Linked DNA regions of Oryctolagus cuniculus. The protein of the gene in region 2 binds, or shares a complex with, the protein of the main gene of each other region. Links are inferred from orthologs where the notes say so. Each region holds a gene or a part of one and is shown on either strand. Other genes may lie near its edges. The genes, in order: TMEM30B, ATP8B1 and TMEM30A.

The links.
Region 1: the proteins of ATP8B1 (region 2) and TMEM30B are in contact, whole or in part, in a cryo-EM structure (PDB 7VGH), measured with the Homo sapiens proteins. The link is inferred for Oryctolagus cuniculus from reciprocal best matches to the Homo sapiens genes ATP8B1 and TMEM30B. Residues at the interface, in NP_001361314.1 of Homo sapiens: Trp362, Val366, Ser369, Ser370, Trp371, Tyr372, Leu373, Tyr374, Asp375, Gly376, Phe418, Trp421, Asp422, Leu423, Tyr426, Asp431, Pro433, His939, Trp942, Arg946, Tyr968, Phe971, Asn972, Gly973, Ser975, Ala976, Gln977, Leu1003, Gln1005, Phe1049; in NP_001017970.1 of Homo sapiens: Gly9, Ala10, His11, Gln12, Pro13, Asn15, Phe18, Thr19, Gln20, Gln21, Arg22, Leu23, Pro24, Ala25, Trp26, Gln27, Pro28, Leu30, Ser31, Ala32, Ala35, Leu38, Phe39, Phe46, Leu49, Leu53, Tyr109, Tyr111, Asn116, Phe117.
Region 3: the proteins of ATP8B1 (region 2) and TMEM30A are in contact, whole or in part, in a cryo-EM structure (PDB 7VGI), measured with the Homo sapiens proteins. The link is inferred for Oryctolagus cuniculus from reciprocal best matches to the Homo sapiens genes ATP8B1 and TMEM30A. Residues at the interface, in NP_001361314.1 of Homo sapiens: Thr138, His359, Trp362, Glu363, Val366, Ser369, Ser370, Trp371, Tyr372, Leu373, Tyr374, Asp375, Gly376, Arg384, Ile388, Phe418, Asn420, Trp421, Asp422, Leu423, Tyr426, Lys430, Asp431, Thr432, Pro433, His939, Trp942, Arg946, Tyr968, Phe971; in NP_060717.1 of Homo sapiens: Lys24, Thr25, Arg26, Arg27, Pro28, Asn30, Phe33, Lys34, Gln35, Gln36, Arg37, Leu38, Pro39, Ala40, Trp41, Gln42, Pro43, Ile44, Leu45, Thr46, Ala47, Val50, Phe54, Ile57, Phe61, Ile64, Ile68, Ile75, Phe119, Tyr121.

What each region holds. Positions count from the first base shown.
Region 1 is NC_091451.1:9,305,212-9,310,551, reverse strand, and holds TMEM30B (cell cycle control protein 50B), read right to left. Parts: upstream 3,153-5,340; 5' UTR 2,997-3,152; coding exon 1,935-2,996; 3' UTR 544-1,934; downstream 1-543. UniProt on the Homo sapiens protein: Accessory component of a P4-ATPase flippase complex which catalyzes the hydrolysis of ATP coupled to the transport of aminophospholipids from the outer to the inner leaflet of various membranes and ensures the maintenance of asymmetric distribution of phospholipids.
Region 2 is NC_091441.1:20,523,341-20,528,911, reverse strand, and holds the start of ATP8B1 (phospholipid-transporting ATPase IC), read right to left. Parts: upstream 3,312-5,571; 5' UTR 3,016-3,311; intron 1-3,015. UniProt on the Homo sapiens protein: Catalytic component of a P4-ATPase flippase complex which catalyzes the hydrolysis of ATP coupled to the transport of phospholipids, in particular phosphatidylcholines (PC), from the outer to the inner leaflet of the plasma membrane.
Region 3 is NC_091436.1:97,193,281-97,198,605, reverse strand, and holds the start of TMEM30A (cell cycle control protein 50A), read right to left. Parts: upstream 3,357-5,325; 5' UTR 2,987-3,356; coding exon 2,750-2,986; intron 2,634-2,749; exon of another isoform or gene 2,498-2,633; intron 1-2,497. UniProt on the Homo sapiens protein: Accessory component of a P4-ATPase flippase complex which catalyzes the hydrolysis of ATP coupled to the transport of aminophospholipids from the outer to the inner leaflet of various membranes and ensures the maintenance of asymmetric distribution of phospholipids.

The DNA.
Region 1 (5,340 bases), on a different chromosome or scaffold from region 2:
GTACATGATGATGGTTTCGCAGCCTAAAACCATCATTCACAATTTCATGATAAAAGTGTATTGCGTTCCAGAGTTGGGAAGCCAGCATCCTGGAATGACGAAAGTACTTTTGGTGTACCCATAAGTAAGGGGACAGGATCCCTTGAATCACTACTGTCTCAGAAGTGCTGAGACGGAGACCTGAGATAAACACGTTGTCCAGTGGTAATTTTCAAAGAAGCTAGAGTAAAACAAAAAGAATGTAAAGTACTCAGTACAACTCAACATTTCTCCAACTACAAAAAAAAAAAAAAAAAAAAAAAACTTAGTTCAAGATCTTTCCCTGCCTTAAAGGAGTGAACACACACAGCAGTAATTAGAAAGTAGCTGTGACAGACACCAGGCACCAAGGAATTCTGACAAATGCCAAATAACAGCTTTCAGCTAATAAACTGGGAAGATGATATCATAGAGTTTTTTTTAAAGTTATTTTAACTTATTTTGTTGCCACAAAGAGGAAGTCTTAAAAATATTCTATTGCTTTTCAGAATAACTTCATACATATTGTATACACATTGATTTTAATCAACAAAAAATCAACTGAGTTTAATCAAGAGTTTTTAACATCATGTCAAAGACACCCCCCCAAAATAAAATCTTAAGAGATTCTAGCTTGCACATAAGATTTTCCTTAGTATTCATTCAAAGAGGATTACTAGACACAAATGTTTCATTTGAGGACATGCATTCTAAAGTTTCAGTTTTTTTTTTTTTTCCCAGATCCAAGGAAGAAGGTATTAATTAATGAAATTCTTTCTCTCCAGGCATTAAAAAAAAAAAAAAAAAGCAGATGAGAAAGAGGGGTGAGCCAGGAGTCAGAAGAAATACATGTGACTTTTGATACTTTCCCACTAGGATCCCTCCGTTACCTGATTCGAAGGTTCAGACAGTCCCCAGAGCCCCCACAGACTGGCCCAGCAGCGTCAAGTTTCCGCACAGTACCTGCAAAGTTTAACTTCTGCACTCAACTATCCAACGAATTTCCTTGCCCTGCAACTCTGAATCCCAGCTACTTCTAGAGAGCGCATTCTTCCCCATTCACTCCAGAAACCATGGGGCAGGGGCCTCTCTCTAGTCAAGGCATTGCTAAACCTAATCTGCAGTATTATGACCGTCACTGTCCTGAAAAAACCAAACTCAGGAGACTGCTTCAGGCCCTAGGCAGGCAGGGACTGGATTCCCAGTCTGAGGGAGCAGAGGCCTCCATGGGGAGCCTGCTAATAATACTGCTCCAGGGTCTCCCCGCGCAGCCTGGCAGGGTCAGAGTCTCGGCCGCTGCTGGTGCCTCCCCATCTACTTAACATTTCTAGCAAGTACTAGGGGATTTCAAAAGCGTTCGTGGAGAACGGAATTAAAAGGTAAGCTTCCTTTAGTGCAAAACATCGTTTGAAATCCATGAGCGCTTGGAAGACCGCTCTGGGCATGGACTTCAAACTCCTTGTGCACCAAAACAACCTTATCTTTTCATGTCATTTTTCCCACGGACTCTTCTGAGTACCCTGGAGTATCCCCCTCTCCGTGTCTCTACAGGGGCTGCGTGGACCTGGCCTACCCCAACCCCCACACCCACCACGACACCCTTCCCAAAGCTCCCAGAGCGCTCTCCGCCTGATCCACCACGAGCTACTTAAACACGGCCAGGTCTCTCAGTCCCTCCACGCGGGAGGCGGTCGGATGCGAGACCCTACTGTCCCTGGAACTCTTCAAGCCTGCCAACACGTCAGCTGGAGAGGCGGCGATGGAGGTGGGGAAGTGGCAAGGCTGTGTCTCCGCTCCGCAGGTGCACCCAGCACCCCCCCCCCACGAGGCACAGGGGGTCCTCCCCGTGCCCTCCCACGCCGTCCTCGACGCCCCAGGAGGCAGGGGAAGGCGGAGGGCGTCCCTGGGGCCAGCCATCACTCGTCGTCGTCGTCGTCGTCCGTCTGGTCCTGGTAGCGAATGTACACGACCAGCATGGCGAAGCCCACGAGGATGCAGAGGGCGCCGACCACAAGGTAGGCGATGCCCAGGAAGGGGTTCTTGCCGCCCATCCACGAGATGTTGCTGAAGATGAGCAGCTTGTGGCCGCCGAAGGCGCGCACCGGGTAGTTGTAGGAGATGTTGACGCGGTAAGCGCCGCGGGGCAGCCCCGCCGAGTAGTCGCCCTGGCGGATGCGCGCGTACAGCTTGCGGAAGGTGGGCAGCGCCGCCGTGCGCATCCACACCACGAAGTCCTGGTTGACGAAGCCCGTGTTGTTGGGGTCGGCGCTCAGCTCGTAGACCGGCCGGGGCCAGTTGGGCGGCGGCGCCGTGCCGCGGAAGGCCAGCGCCAGGCTGCCGTTCACCAGCGGCGGGTTGCGGAACTTGACGTGGTAGTCGGTCCACCAGGCGATGGCGGCGCGGTCCAGCGGCACCTCGACGTAGGGCCCGGCCGGCTGGTGCTGGTGCCACAGCGAGAAGGTGTCGTTGAAGAGGCTGTTGGCGATGGCGCCGCAGGGCGCGATGGGCAGCCCGGTGGCGCTGCGCTGGTACGGGGCGCACTCGTTGGCCGGCTGGCGCAGCGCGCTCGGCAGCCCGCTCAGCTGCGCGTCGTCGCGGGACACGCCGTAGCGCCGGTTGTTCTGGTAGAAGCTGGACAGCTCGTAGTAGAGGTACACGGGCCCCGGGAAGAGCTCGTGCAGCGAGAAGTACCAGGCGCACGAGCAGGGCGGCGGCGGCGCGCGGCCCTGGCCCTCGGCGGCGCACACGGAGCAGTTGCTCGAGCCCGCGTCGCCCGTGTAGTCATGCTCGAGCTCCACGATGCCGTTGGAGGAGTAGTAGAGGCCCAGGCCCAGGCCGATGAAGGCCAGGCCGGCGCAGAAGAAGAGCGGCAGCGTGATGCTGGCCGACAGCAGCGGCTGCCACGCGGGGAGGCGCTGCTGCGTGAACGCCGTGTTGTCCGGCTGGTGGGCGCCGCGGGCCGTGGCGCTCCACGTCATGGCGGACGGTCCCCCTCCGCACCCCGCCCCGCCCCGGGGGTCGCCGTCCCCGAGCCCTCGGGCCCCCGCCTCCTGCACAGGTGCGTCGGAGCCCCGGGCTCTGCGGCCGGCTCCGGGACGCCTGAGTTCCGCCTCCGCCCAGGTGCGCGGCGCCGGCTCCGCCCCTCGCGGGAGCCCGGGCCGCGCCCCGCCTCTTCCGAGGGGAGCCGGGCAGGTGTCGCGGCCTCACCTGGCGGCGGGCGCGGGCTCGGCTGACCCGCGCGGTCCCGGCCGCTCCTGGCGCCAGCTCCTCCCCCTCCAGGTGAGTGGCGGCTCAGGCTGTCTCCGAGTGGCTCACACCTTGCTCAGGTCCCCTCCGCCCCCTAACCCTTCCGCCTTCCCAGAGACTCGAGGGCCCGGATCCAGCCGCACCTGCAGCTCCGGCGCTGCAGCCTACCAGCGGGAAGCGTCCCCGGGAGCGTGCCCCGTGGGTCCCGGGGGCTTGAAGGGTTCGCGCGGTTACTGCATTCTCTGTCGCTTCGGACGCAGGTGAGTTGAGACCTGCTTGTCTTTGTAGATTCACTGCTGGATTTCGTTTCAGTCCGCTTTCACTGAAATGCACAGAAAATGACACCATTTCGAATTCAACACCTGCGTCCGAACTCCTGGTGTATTTATTTTTAATAATGGAAAATGGTTTTCTGGGCGGATGCCCCAGTCTTACAGCTAAGAAAGGTGAAAAGTTCTCTAAAAATAAAATGACCCTTAGAGGGAGAAGGAGAGAGGGAGGGGGAGGGAGAATAAAAAACTGGAGAGACCCACAGCATTTAAATGTCTCATTAGCTGGTAGAGACGCCAGGCAGGGAAAAAATGGGGTGAACTACAGGGGATTTTTTTTCTTTTCTTTTTTTTTTTTTTCAGGGTCTTTGCCTTGCTGGAGAAAGGCCCAATCCAGGGTTCCTGGAAACTGTTGCTGTCTGTAAGGGAATTTGTTTGGAATAGCGGACCACAAAGGCTTATAAAGAACTCAAATTAGTCTGCCCGTTGAGGGAGATGCTGGCTTTTGTTCTAGCTTTGAGGTTATCTCATGAAGTTCGGAAATAAACAGAATTGAAAGATAAGTTTATTTTAGTAAAAGAAAATTTTGAAACCCATGCATAGCTTTTTCGTAGTCTGCGTTTTCCATCAACTTTTTAAAAAGATTTATTTATTTATTTGAGAGGAAGAATTTACAGTGAGAGAGGGAGAGATAGAGAAAGAGAGGTCTTCCATCTGCTGGTTCACTCCCCAGATGGCCCAAACAGATGGGTCTGGGCCAGGCCGAAGCCAGGAGTTTCATCCGGGTCTCTCACACTGGTTCAGGAGCCTAAACACTTGGGCCATCTTCTGCTGCTTTTCCCAGGCACATTAACAGGAAGCTGGATCAGAAGAGGAGCAGCTGGGACATGAACCAGAGCCCACATGGGATGCCCGTGTTGCAGGTGGTGGCTTAACCTGCTATGTCATAACATTGGCTCTCAAAATAAACTTTTATTTCTATTTTCTACAAATGCCTTGAAGTGCTCTTATACACGAGAGTGTACCTTGGGGACCATTTCATTTGTGTTAAATCCTCAGTAGGTATTGAGGTGTTCTTGCCTCTTCCAGCTCATAAAATGCAAGTGATTTAAATGTCTTCTCTGTTACACTTCAGCATCTAGCGTAAGGTACCACATGCATTGCCTTCAAAACCCATGGAGGGGCCGGCGCCATGGCTCACTTGGTTAATCCTCCACCTGTGGCGCTGGCATCCCCTATGGGCACCGGGTTCTGGTCCCAGTTGCTCCTCTTCCAGTCCAGCTCTCTGCTGTGGCCCCGGGAGGGCAGTGGAGGATGGCACAAGTGCTTGGACCCTGCACCCGCATGGGAGACCGGTAGGAAGTACCCGGCTCCTGGCTTCAGGTTGGCGCAGTGCCGGCTATGGCAGCCATTTGGGGGGTGAACCAACGGAAGGAAGACCTTTCTCTCTGTCTCTGTCTCTCACTGTCTAACTCTGCCTGTCAAATAAAAAAAATTTAAAAAATTAAAAAAATGGAAACTTGGAAAGTTAGAATGCTTTTTAAGCAACAGAAATCATTATTATTATTATTATTATTATTATTATTATTATTTTAGCATCTTCCAAGTGTTCAGCCCTGTGCTAAGCAGTGTAGAAGCCAGAAGAGTGTTAGACTGAAAAAGACTCTAGATCTCAAGGCTTTTGCAATCTGATAGGGGACTTTTTTTTTTTTTTTTTTAATTCAGAAGCCATCAAAACAGTCAGTAGACTGCAGAATGACACTAACATGAAAATATACTTCAGTATTGGAGAGCTGCTTTGTTGAGT
Region 2 (5,571 bases):
ATTTTTATCTGCGCACAGAAGTGGGGATTCAGGAGTAACTTGTTTAACAGAGTGAAGAAGATAAGTTATCATCTTTTTTGTGTTATTAAAACCCTTCTGGCAGCAAATTAATTTCCATTTAATAAGTAACACAAGGCCTACAGGCATGAACACAAGTAATCCAACTGGGTGGTAACACTCAAACAGATCTGCAAAGTCACAAGTCACCCAAAAACACCACAAAGAAAAACTTCACGGGAGACCAATCTAGAAGTAAATGCCAAAACGAAGTGCTTGAGAAACTAACTGTAAAGGTGCCTCTCTCTGGAGAAACAGGACACGAATGGACCCAATAAAACTAGCTCTGGTACTTGAAAAGCAAGTCGCTGTCCATTCACAAGCACACAGCTTTCATCGGCAATGGTTGAAACTAGGGAGCCAAGGAAAGCAGGTAAATTAAAACCTGTCCAGTGCGGCTTACAACAAACTCAGGCAGAATTCAGACTCGGGAGGCAATGGAATATGAAAATTATACCAGACACCTGGACATCGCACTACTTTCAAAAATAGCCTAGGAAAGAAAATAGGAAATCAACACTCAAACACCTACTACAGAGAAGGGACACATAGACGTTCTTACTTAATTCTCTCAACAATCCAAAGAGGTTGAGGATAGCTTTCTGTCCCCCCAAACGAGCAAACTGAGACTTCCTCAGACATTTTAAAAATTCATCCAGGGTGGGGCAGGCGCTGTGGCGTAGTAGGTAAAGCTGCCGCCTGCTGTGCCAGCATCCAATATGGGCACAGGTTCAAGACTCAGCTGTGCCACTTCCCATCCAGCTCTCTGCTACGGCCTGGAACAGCAGTGGAAGATGGCCCAAGTGCTTGGGCCCCCACACTTACGTGGGAGACCTGGAAGAAGCTCCTGGCTTCAGATCGGCCCAGCTCTGGCTGTTGCCGCCATTTGGGAAGTGAACCAGCAGATAGAAGACCTCTCTCTCTCTGTCTCTGCCGCTCTGTAACTCTGCCTTTCAAATAAATGAATAAATCATACAAAAAAAAAAAAAAGAGAATTCATCTAGGGTGATTCAATCAGTAAGAAAAAGAACTGAAAATGGTGGGAATCACGCCCCAATGTTTCTCACTATTCCTGGCTTCAAGAGGAGGAGAAAGAGCAGGCAGAATGGCTGGAGGGATGGAAGAAAGCAAAGAAACCCCCCACACAGCGTGCAGGCCAGGTGGTGGGCTCCATCAGGGCTGACACCCACACTGAGAACCACGTCCCACATCCACCCAACCTGGCCTGAACATGCCTTGCCCTGGACCACTTCTTTCTGTAAAGCCACTTGCTTCTCCAAGTCATGATTTCAAAACCCTGATTTAAAACACACACCGCTCCCCCTGCCGCAGTCATGGGAAGGGCACACAGCGTGCGTCTTTTCCCATCCTCCAAACCCACACGGCAAGCTGGAAAGGAGCCGCAGGTGGATGCCCGCAGGTGGCATCTGGGAACCAGGTAGGAAGGAGCCGCCTGAGTCTGGTTTGTATCTTAATCACTGATACCAGGAATCCCTCAGAATTCCTGAAGCGTGGCCAAGTGCTTTGGGGAAAACGACAAATGAACGAGGCAGGAGAAAGCTTTCCTACTCAAAATTAAAACTAAAGGAGCTCCACCAGGGGAGAAAGCTGTCAGAGGCTGCAGGCAGGCGAGACTTCTCCCCGGAAAGCAAACACCTGGGACGCGGTCCTCATCTCCGCCCGGTCTGTGTGTTTAAGCAGCGCTTCATCAGGCCTGCCACAATGGGCACACACACAAGTACTCCCTAACCCATGCAGAATCAGAACCCTCCGCCTTGGGATTAGCTACTATGAGGACGCATCATTTTTAGTTTCCTTCCCCAAAGCGAGACCCTTGGTCAGGGACCTATGCTGTGTCCGGTGGTCTTCACGCATTTCACTAGCGTGGCCAGGCTCGCTTCGCCAGAGATTGGGGTGGGGGGTGGGGGGTGGTGAGCAGGGTGTAGAATTTCGAAGGCAAGGCAACCAGGAAGGTGGGAGCAAACGCTTGGACCCCGACTCGGCCGGCGAACGCAGGCCGAGGGAAACCACCGCTGGGGAGTGGGGGGCTCCCCAGGAGCATATGTGACTCGGTCCCCTGTCCTTTTGCGAGCCAGCCCCAGCCGCCGCGTGCTGCTCTCCGTCCTCCCCACTGACAGCGGTGCTGGCCCTGGGGCCCCCGCGGAGAAGCTGGGCGGACGCTCCAGGCTTTCCTTTCGCTTTAGGGAAGGAAGCAAAGTGGGGAAGTGGGGGTTAAAGCCTTCCTCCTCCCAGCAAATTGTCCTCAGCAGGCTCACGGCGAGGTGACAGCGACGGACATCAACCCGGGCAGGGAGGGAGACGGCCTGCGTTGGGAGCGACGGCCAGGAGCTACAGTCCAGCTTCCCCGCACGCATCCTGGGTTAAAGCGCCCGGGTGTCTGGCGGCGCCTGGCTCTGCGGTGGGGACGGCCGATCCCACCCCATCCCTACTCGCAGGTGCGGCCGTGGTCAGGTGCTGCGGCTGTAAGGACTTTTACCGGCACGTTGGCACAGGCTGCCAATGGGGGGCCCAGCAGAGCCCGGCCATAGAGGACTTCCAGAGGGGCAGTGGCCGCCGCAAGGAAGCCAGCAGCACTCCCGCCCCCCGACCAGGGGAACCGCCAGCCCAGCTTGGCCCCTCCGGGCTTAACCCCGGCCAAGCGTGTAGCAGACCAACCAAGCACGCAAACACCTCCCGCGAGGTCCCGCCTCCCGGCAGGTGATACTCCCACCGAACTCACAACAGCGCTGCCCCGGCCATCCGAGACTTCCCGACCCCGAAGCGGCGCAGGTTCCGGGCACCCCCACTCCAATCCCACCCGTGGGGGCTCCGCAGGCGGAGCGCGCGGATAGCTGCTGCCTCCGGATCCCCGGAGTCCACTGGTCCGGGGGCCACTGGACCCTGCCCGACTATCGGGGTGGAGGTTTCTGGGGGTCGCGACGCCGCGTCTCTCCTTACCTGGCGTTCGCTGGGCCCCGGCTGGGGCATCTGCCGGGTGCGCCCTGCTCCGAGCGCTCGCTGTGCACCTGGTCGTCTCCGCCGCCTCCCTGCCGCCGGGCCCCAGCGTTGGCCGCGGCGCTAGCGCCTCATGGCGCACGGGGGCTGGCCGGGGGCCCCGGGCAGCGTGTCCAGTTGGCGGCCGCTCCTCCGGCTCCCGCGGTACGCCAATGGCTCCCCGCCTTCCCCGCCTCGCGTCCGCGCGCCCTTCCTCTGCGGCCGCCCTTTTCCCTCCGCTCCGCGGGACCGGCCAAACTGGTTTCTCAGCTACAGGGAGGTGCCTCTCATCTCCCTCCGGCAGCCGCGGCCGCCAAGCGCGGCTGGGGCTGTGGATGGGGCAGGGGTTGGGGCTGGGGGCGGGCCCGGACGTCTGCCCTCCCCCGGTCCCTCCCCGGGGCGGAGAAGGGCTGGACGGCGAGCCCCAGGGCGGGCCCGCCTCTGTGGTCCGGGACCGGCCTCCCGCCCTCGGTGCGCCCCGGCGGCAGGTGCGCACCCCGCGCTGTGTCCCGAGCGCTGGTCTCTCCTCGCCCAGCCGGCGACCAGGCAGCTGCGGCGGCTCTGCCTCTTCACCCCGCCCCACCAGCCCGGCGTCACTTTCCCACCGCCCTCTGCCGGGTTGGCCGCAGCCTGGGGTCGGAGACAGCTCCTGGCCGGAAAGCTGGCGGGGTCGTGGCGCGCCCGGGACCTGAGCTCCCTTGGTAAGGAGAGCTGTGCGCTCTCGGTGCCAAGTCACGTTTCGGGACCAGTCACAGAAGGCGAGCCGTGGTTGCCCGCGCGGGGGGTAGGGAGAAAAACAGCACCCAGAGACTTCGAGAAACTTTTATCCTCTGCGGAGCCCAAACTCGTGCGTGTTTATAGCTTTAGGGAGAAAAGGACTTCCAGGGCCACATGTGAACTATGCGCTGCTGTTGAACATTTTGCGCGTTTCTGGCTCACCTGTTGTGGACAAGTCACAGGGATCGGAATGGAGCAAAGTCAAAGGCCTACATGTTTGCTAACAATGCAACAGGGGACATAGAACTCCTGGACAAGTGCCCGACGACCTGCAGATCAGAGCAGAGTCATCATGCAGGAGTCTGCGCAGGGGCTGAGGACGGATGATGCCCCATCTACAGGATCGGAGTTGTCTCGAGGAGAAATTCAAAGAGGGGCCTTGTGATTCGATCTTCAAGCCTATCAAAAACCCCACTGATACTGCCAATCCCAGGTACCCCGGATTTCCAATTCTTTAGGCACCTTCGTGGTGCAGACCAGGCATTTAATCTGCACGGGCCTCAGTTGCCTCCTCTGTAAACATGAGAGCGGACTAGATGGTCGCCAATGGTTCCCTCTAGCGTTATCTTCTGAACTAGTGACAGAGCAAAGCCTCTGAGACACGGAAACCTAGGGCCTGCTTAGTGACAACGTGGTCAGTAAACCAGCCTCCCGCAGGGCATTAAGAGGCTAGAGCCCTCGAATGCAAGGCTTGGGAGTTTGGACTTCTCTTGGTAGTTCTTGCAAACCACTGAACGTTTCTGAACACAGCAGTGACATGATCAAGGATGTGTTTTGGGGAAGGTATTAGGATGGTTGGAAGAAGAGAAGAGAGAAGACAGAGGTCTGGCCTGGGAGGCAAGTACCACAACAGAAGAGGTCGCCAGAAATGGTCGAGATTCAAAGGACATCTTGGAGAAAAGCGGTCAGAGCACAGAGGGACCAGAACCTGCAGCTCATTTGCAGAGAGAAGCATGCAGGACCAGCCAAGGTCCTGAGGGTGACAGCTTGATCGGGATTGCAGAGTCGAAAGGAGAAAAATCAGTTAGGAGGGCTCAGCCCCTATCAGGAGAAATGGTAGCAAACCTAGTGATCTAGAGAGGACTCCAGGGTCCAGGAGGGATCCCCCGCTTCTTGCAGATCCCAAAGGATCAATCTGTACAAGGAAATGCTGCATAGAAAAGATGGCACCAGGGCACACCGTACCCAGATCTGATGAATACTGTTCCAATGGCTGCATTCAACAACCCTATGCAGACACCAAAGTTTCTCTTCTTCTATTGCAGGCCACTTGGAAGGGGCAGAGTGGACACTGGGCACAATGAGTATTGATTCAAAGATGTATTCACTCAGTAAATATTCAGGGAGTACCCACTGTGTATCAGGCACTGTTCTAGTTGGTTGTGTGCATCAGTGAACCAAGGAAGCAAATTGTGTCCTCCAAGGTGACACAGGCTTGGAGAAAGCAGAAAAGACTCCTGTGGGGTAGGATAGGGGCTGAAGGAAGCTTCTGGGGTGGCATGGGGCGGGGGAGGTCTATGAATGTTCTACATGTTGATCTGGGTGGTGGTTCTCAGAGTGCATGTATAGGTAAGATTTCATCAACCTGGGGGCCTGCGCTGTGACGCAGTGGGTTAACGCCCTGGCCTGAAGCGCCAGCATCCCATATGGGCACCGGTTTGAGACCTGGCTGCTCCACTTCCTGTCCAGCTCTCGGCTATGGCCCGGGAAAGCAGTAGAGGATGGCCCAAGTGGGCCCCTGCA
Region 3 (5,325 bases), on a different chromosome or scaffold from region 2:
ATACACACACACACACACACACACACACATATATATATGGATTCTATGTGCAAAACTGTATTTCAGTGTTGACACAAAACTCCCAATTATTCCTGGTAGTCATTTCCTGTGGTTCCAAAGGCAATTCAATATGAATACGCAGCATTTTTTACACCACATTTAAGTTGGAAGTCATAGAATTTTAGAGTTTGATAGCATTTAGAGATTATCTATTCTGAATCTTTTGGTTCTTCAAGCAAAGGAGAAACTCTATATATATATACCAGACCCCTTAACCAGAATTGCTTCTAGTTCTCATATCTTAGGAAACATGCATTATTCTACTTATTTTACAGATGAGGAAACTCAGGCTCAAAAACATGCCTAAGATCATAGTCTACAGAGTGACAGAGCTAGAATTTTAATTCTAATGCCCTGACCCTTAAGTTCAGTGCCCTTTAACCACATAAAGCTGCAGTCTAATCCTTCAGGTAACTTGCAATCAGAATTGTATATGAGAACTATTTAAGAAATTTCCATTTCACCCACTACTTAATTTGAAGAATCTTATTTCAGAACCCAAAAATTTTAAACATAAATGTTTATTTTCACAGCAAATATTAAGAGCACTTGAATTCTGATAATTTAGTAAATACTAATATACAATTCTAAAGTACTGCTACTTCTTCCATCTTATGTTTAAATAAGATGATTTAAATTTCTAAAGTTAAATATTTTCTATTTTACTAAAATTGCAGTAAGCCTCCTAGTGCTGGGTGAAGGCTTAAAGCCAGATTCTGTCTCAATTCTGCAATAGTTTTAATAAGTCTACTGCAAAATCTAAACCTTTCTGATTCTATTTCTAATCTCATGATTAACTTAGATCATCATAATTTATTGCCAGACATTTTTTCTAAATTGCTTCTAGTTTTCATATCTTAGGGGATACATATTATTCTATTTATTTTATAGATGAGGAAACCAAGGCTCCGAAACACTAAGTTTTTCAAGAAACTAAGCTAGTTAGTAGCTGAGTTGGAATTTAAATACACCTCTGCCTTGGCCCCAGCTGGAGCCCACAGTCCTTGCATTATACCACTTTGCTCAAAGTCTAATATTATTTGATTGGGAAGACAAGAGGTACTATATTTGCAAGAGGTACTATTCAGGAGGTAAAAAGGATTGGAGCAGGAATTGTGCAACTGGTTCAGCCACCACTTGAGATACCCCCAACCCACATCAGAGTTTCCTGCTATTGCTCAACCTGGGAGGCAGCATCTGTAAGTACTTGGGTTCATTCCACGTATGTGGGAGACCTGGCTGGAGTTCCTGTGGCACCCGGGAATGAACAAGGTGATCAAAAATATCTACCGACATCTCTTCCCCTCTACCTGTTTCTCCCCTCTACCTGTTTCTCCTCAGTCTCTGTCACTCTGCCTCTCAAATCTTTTTTTAATGATAAATTAAAAATACACACTGAAAAAATATACTGTGACACTTTCCCTAATTATTAAGTTGAAAATTAATTTTTGGTAAAAGATTGTAAAACTAGCTATACCATAGGTACTATTCTTATTACTGTTCTTAGTACTATATACCCATACAATTAAAAAGTATATCAATTGGGTTTTGGAAATAACACAGTAAAGTTGAAAATAAGCACTTCTATTCCTAATTCAGTAGCAAAAATAAAATTACTCCTAAAGTAATCATTAAATCAAATACATAAAGAGATTTTTAAAAAGTGAGCATATATTTGTGTGAAAGAGAGAGCATAAGAAACCAAAAATGTTGCTTCTAGTTCCAGACTTCTCAAACAGATAAAAACACCCTGAGCAAGAAAAAAGGATTAACTGATGTTTAACACTGTACATTACACAGTATTTACACTCTATCAACCTATCTTTGTCATTGCAGGTGGATAAAGATTAGGAGATTGTGACTCTTTAAGGTCTGAAAGCTTCCACAACACAAGTTCTTCTGTGGTCTTACATAAGTAAAATAAGTAAAAATGTGCAGTGAAATTAATGAATATAATTTTTGGTAGACAGTTTACAATGCATTCCCTGTGTAAGTTTAAGATATACTGGGGTTGAGTGAGTGTGGTGGTGGTGGGGGAACCCTAGGGTGAATGTAGGGCATAATTACCAAGAAACTCAGCCTAAAAGTAAAAGCAGAACTGAAGTTGTACGTTTTTACTTGTATCATATCCTACAGCTAAAAAACATCTAATTAGTTCACAACGAAAGCCCTGAGCACACTGGTCATGTGTCCTAATACTGGTAATACATGACTTAACCACTTTACATAAGAAGCATTAGCACCTCTATGACTCGGTCCTTCACCCAGCAACAATCGCAGCATCCCGGCATGACCCTCGCACAGGTAATGACACACTGACCCTGTCAGTTCCCTCGGAATTACATCTAGAGGGAGCTTCTTTTTTCTCCACCTTTTCACGTCTCAGAACCACGTCCTGGATCCCCACCGAAACACACACACTGCCCAGGAAAGAAGCGTTCTTCAACCCGACCCACCTTCGGCATTAAACATTCATTCCGTCTCTGACCGTGGAAACCGTAGGTAGAAGTAGGACAAAAGTGCAAATTCAGGAAAGCCGCAGAACCAGAAAGAAGAAACTGAGCAGAGGAAAGGTGAGCGGGAGGGCGGGCCCGCCTGTCAACCCCAGCGAGCCGGGGGAGAGGGGCGCGGGCGCCGCAGCCCCGGGTCCCCAGCAAAGCTAGCTCCCACCGCCGCGCCCTCCCCTCACCTCGATCTCGCGGATGTTGTTGGAGGTGACGAAAATGCCGATGCCAATGGGGATGAAGATGAGGCCGATGATGAAGAAGGTAGGAAGCACCGTGCCAGCCGTCAGGATGGGCTGCCAAGCGGGCAGCCGTTGCTGTTTGAAGGCCGTGTTATCCGGTCTCCGGGTCTTAGCGGTGCCCCCAGGGGGACACGGGGGCCCACCGTCCACTTCATCCTTCGCGTTATAGTTCATCGCCATCGAGCCCCGCGGCGCGGATCCGCGACGCGCAGGTGGACAGTCCAGGGGACCCGCCTGCTGACCCTGACAGGAGACGCGCAGGCGCCGCCGCCACCGCCGCCGCCGCACAGGCGGAAGAGGCGGGACACTCTTCCGCAGACAGCCGCTGACCGGAAGCGAGGGACGGCTGAAGACACCAGAGGGAGGGAGAGAGGAAGGAGGGAGAAGAGTGAGGGACAAGGGGAGGGGAAAGGGGAGGACGATAGAAGGGGGAGGGAAAAGGCGGACGCACCCTGATCATCTGCCCTGTGACGACAAAGTGAGGGGCTCAACCCCCAGAGCGCGAGGTTACGTGGACGCATGCGCCGCCCGGGGGCGACGGGGTCTCGGCGCCTGCGCCATAGGTGCGTTTCCGCCCACTCGCCGACGCTTCTGTTTGCTCACACCTCCGGTTATCATGGCGACAACTACTGGGTTGGCGTGAGCCGCCGGCACCCCTGGAGCGGCTGACCAAGACTTCTTTCTGGTGGTTTCAGCGCGGGACAGGGTTTTCTTTTCACCTTAATGCCTTTTAGAAGGATTTTGAGCCTGGTGGAATTTGGCAGTATTTACTCCGGTTATATAAAACTTCTTTAGTTAAAATAAGTCCCCCCCCCCGGGGGGGGTACACGTGTAACTTTGAGATGCGTAAAGCATTACTCTTTTTTCTTCAAGAATGAATAACGCGCGATGACCTTGTGGCCTAGCGGGTTAAGCCGCCTGAGTTGGAGTCCCTGTTGCTGTGCTTTGGATCCAGCTCCCTGCAGATGCGCCTGAGAGGCAGCAGATGATGGCCCAGTACTTGGCCTTTGCCATCCATGTGGGAGACCCAGAGAGTGAGTGTCAGGCTCCTCTCTTCAGTCTGGCACAGAACCAAGTGTTGTGGGCATTTGAGAAGTAAACCAGCAGATGGAGTCAATTGCTCACCCCCACCCCCGTCTCTGTGTTGCTCTGACTTTCAAAAAAATTTTCTTGAGACTTACTTATTTGAAAGAGACAAATAGAAGGCGAGACAGATCTTCAAAATGGCCCCAACCACCAGGGTAGGTCCAGGCTGAAGCCAGGAGCTTCATCCAGGTCTCCCACATGGATACAGGGACCCAAGCACTTGGGCCATCTTCTGCTGCTTTCATAGGCTCATGTAGCAGGGAACTGGGTTGGAAGTGGAGCATCCTGAACTCCAACCTGACCCATATGGGATGCCAACGCTGCAAACATGGTTTTAACCCACTGCACCACAGCCCTCGTCCCATCTGCCTTTCAGATTACAATTGTTTGATGGCCAGCGCCATGGCTCACTAGGCTAATCCTCCACCTGCAGCGCTGGCACACCGGGTTCTAGTCCCGGTCAGGGCACCGGATTCTGTCCCGGTTGCCCCTCTTCCAGGCCAGCTCTCTGCTGTGGCCTGGGAGTGCAGTGAAGGGTGGCCCAGGTCCTTGGGCCCTCCACCCGCATGGGAGACCAGGAGGAAGCACCTGGCTCCTGGCTTCAGATCAGCGCCATGCGCCGGTCGTAGCGGCCATTTGCGGGGTGAACAAACGGAAGGAGGACCTTTCTCTCTGTCTCTCTCACTGTCTAACTCTGCCTGTCAAAAGTCAATGTGACTTGAATAATCATGTTATCTTACCTCCGTGATTTTTATTTTGCCTCCAAATTTGGTTCCAAGTTACTTTTCCCTTTTTTTGTGTGTTCCTTTGCATGTTAATTTAGTAGTGTTTTGTAGTTAACTATGGAAGTTTTATTTTTGTTTTACTGTTGATAAAGACCAGAACATACTCCTATAGTATTACAGTAAAATGGAATACTACCATGTAGATATTTTTAAACTGCCAAGTTTTTACTGATTCAAAGAAATACTCAAAAGTGACTAAACCGGGATGCCAAGCATAGGAACCGTACAAATAGCCAAACTAAAAAGTTATTAATGACTTTCACTTTTGACTGAAAATAGTGACTTTGTCTCTATGGAGAAATTTTTTTCTCTGTTGCTTTGCATTTTTCTGTACTTTCCAAAATTCATACAATAAGCTATATTATTTGTAAAATTTTTTAAAGTTACACACAGTCCACATTATACTGACATTTGTGAAATCCAGAGATTAAGTCACATCATCTGAACCACCCAAACTTTATTTATTTATTTATTATGGCTATGTCAGCAGTTAATGCCTTTTGGAGGCTAAATCAGGGAAAGGGAAATTAAAAATTGCTTGGTCCTCATAATTTCCAATTAAATTTTCAAAATGATCACAAGTTTCAAGAATACAAGGCAGTCAAATATTTATTAATATTTAGAGGAGTAAAATGAAGCATTTCAATC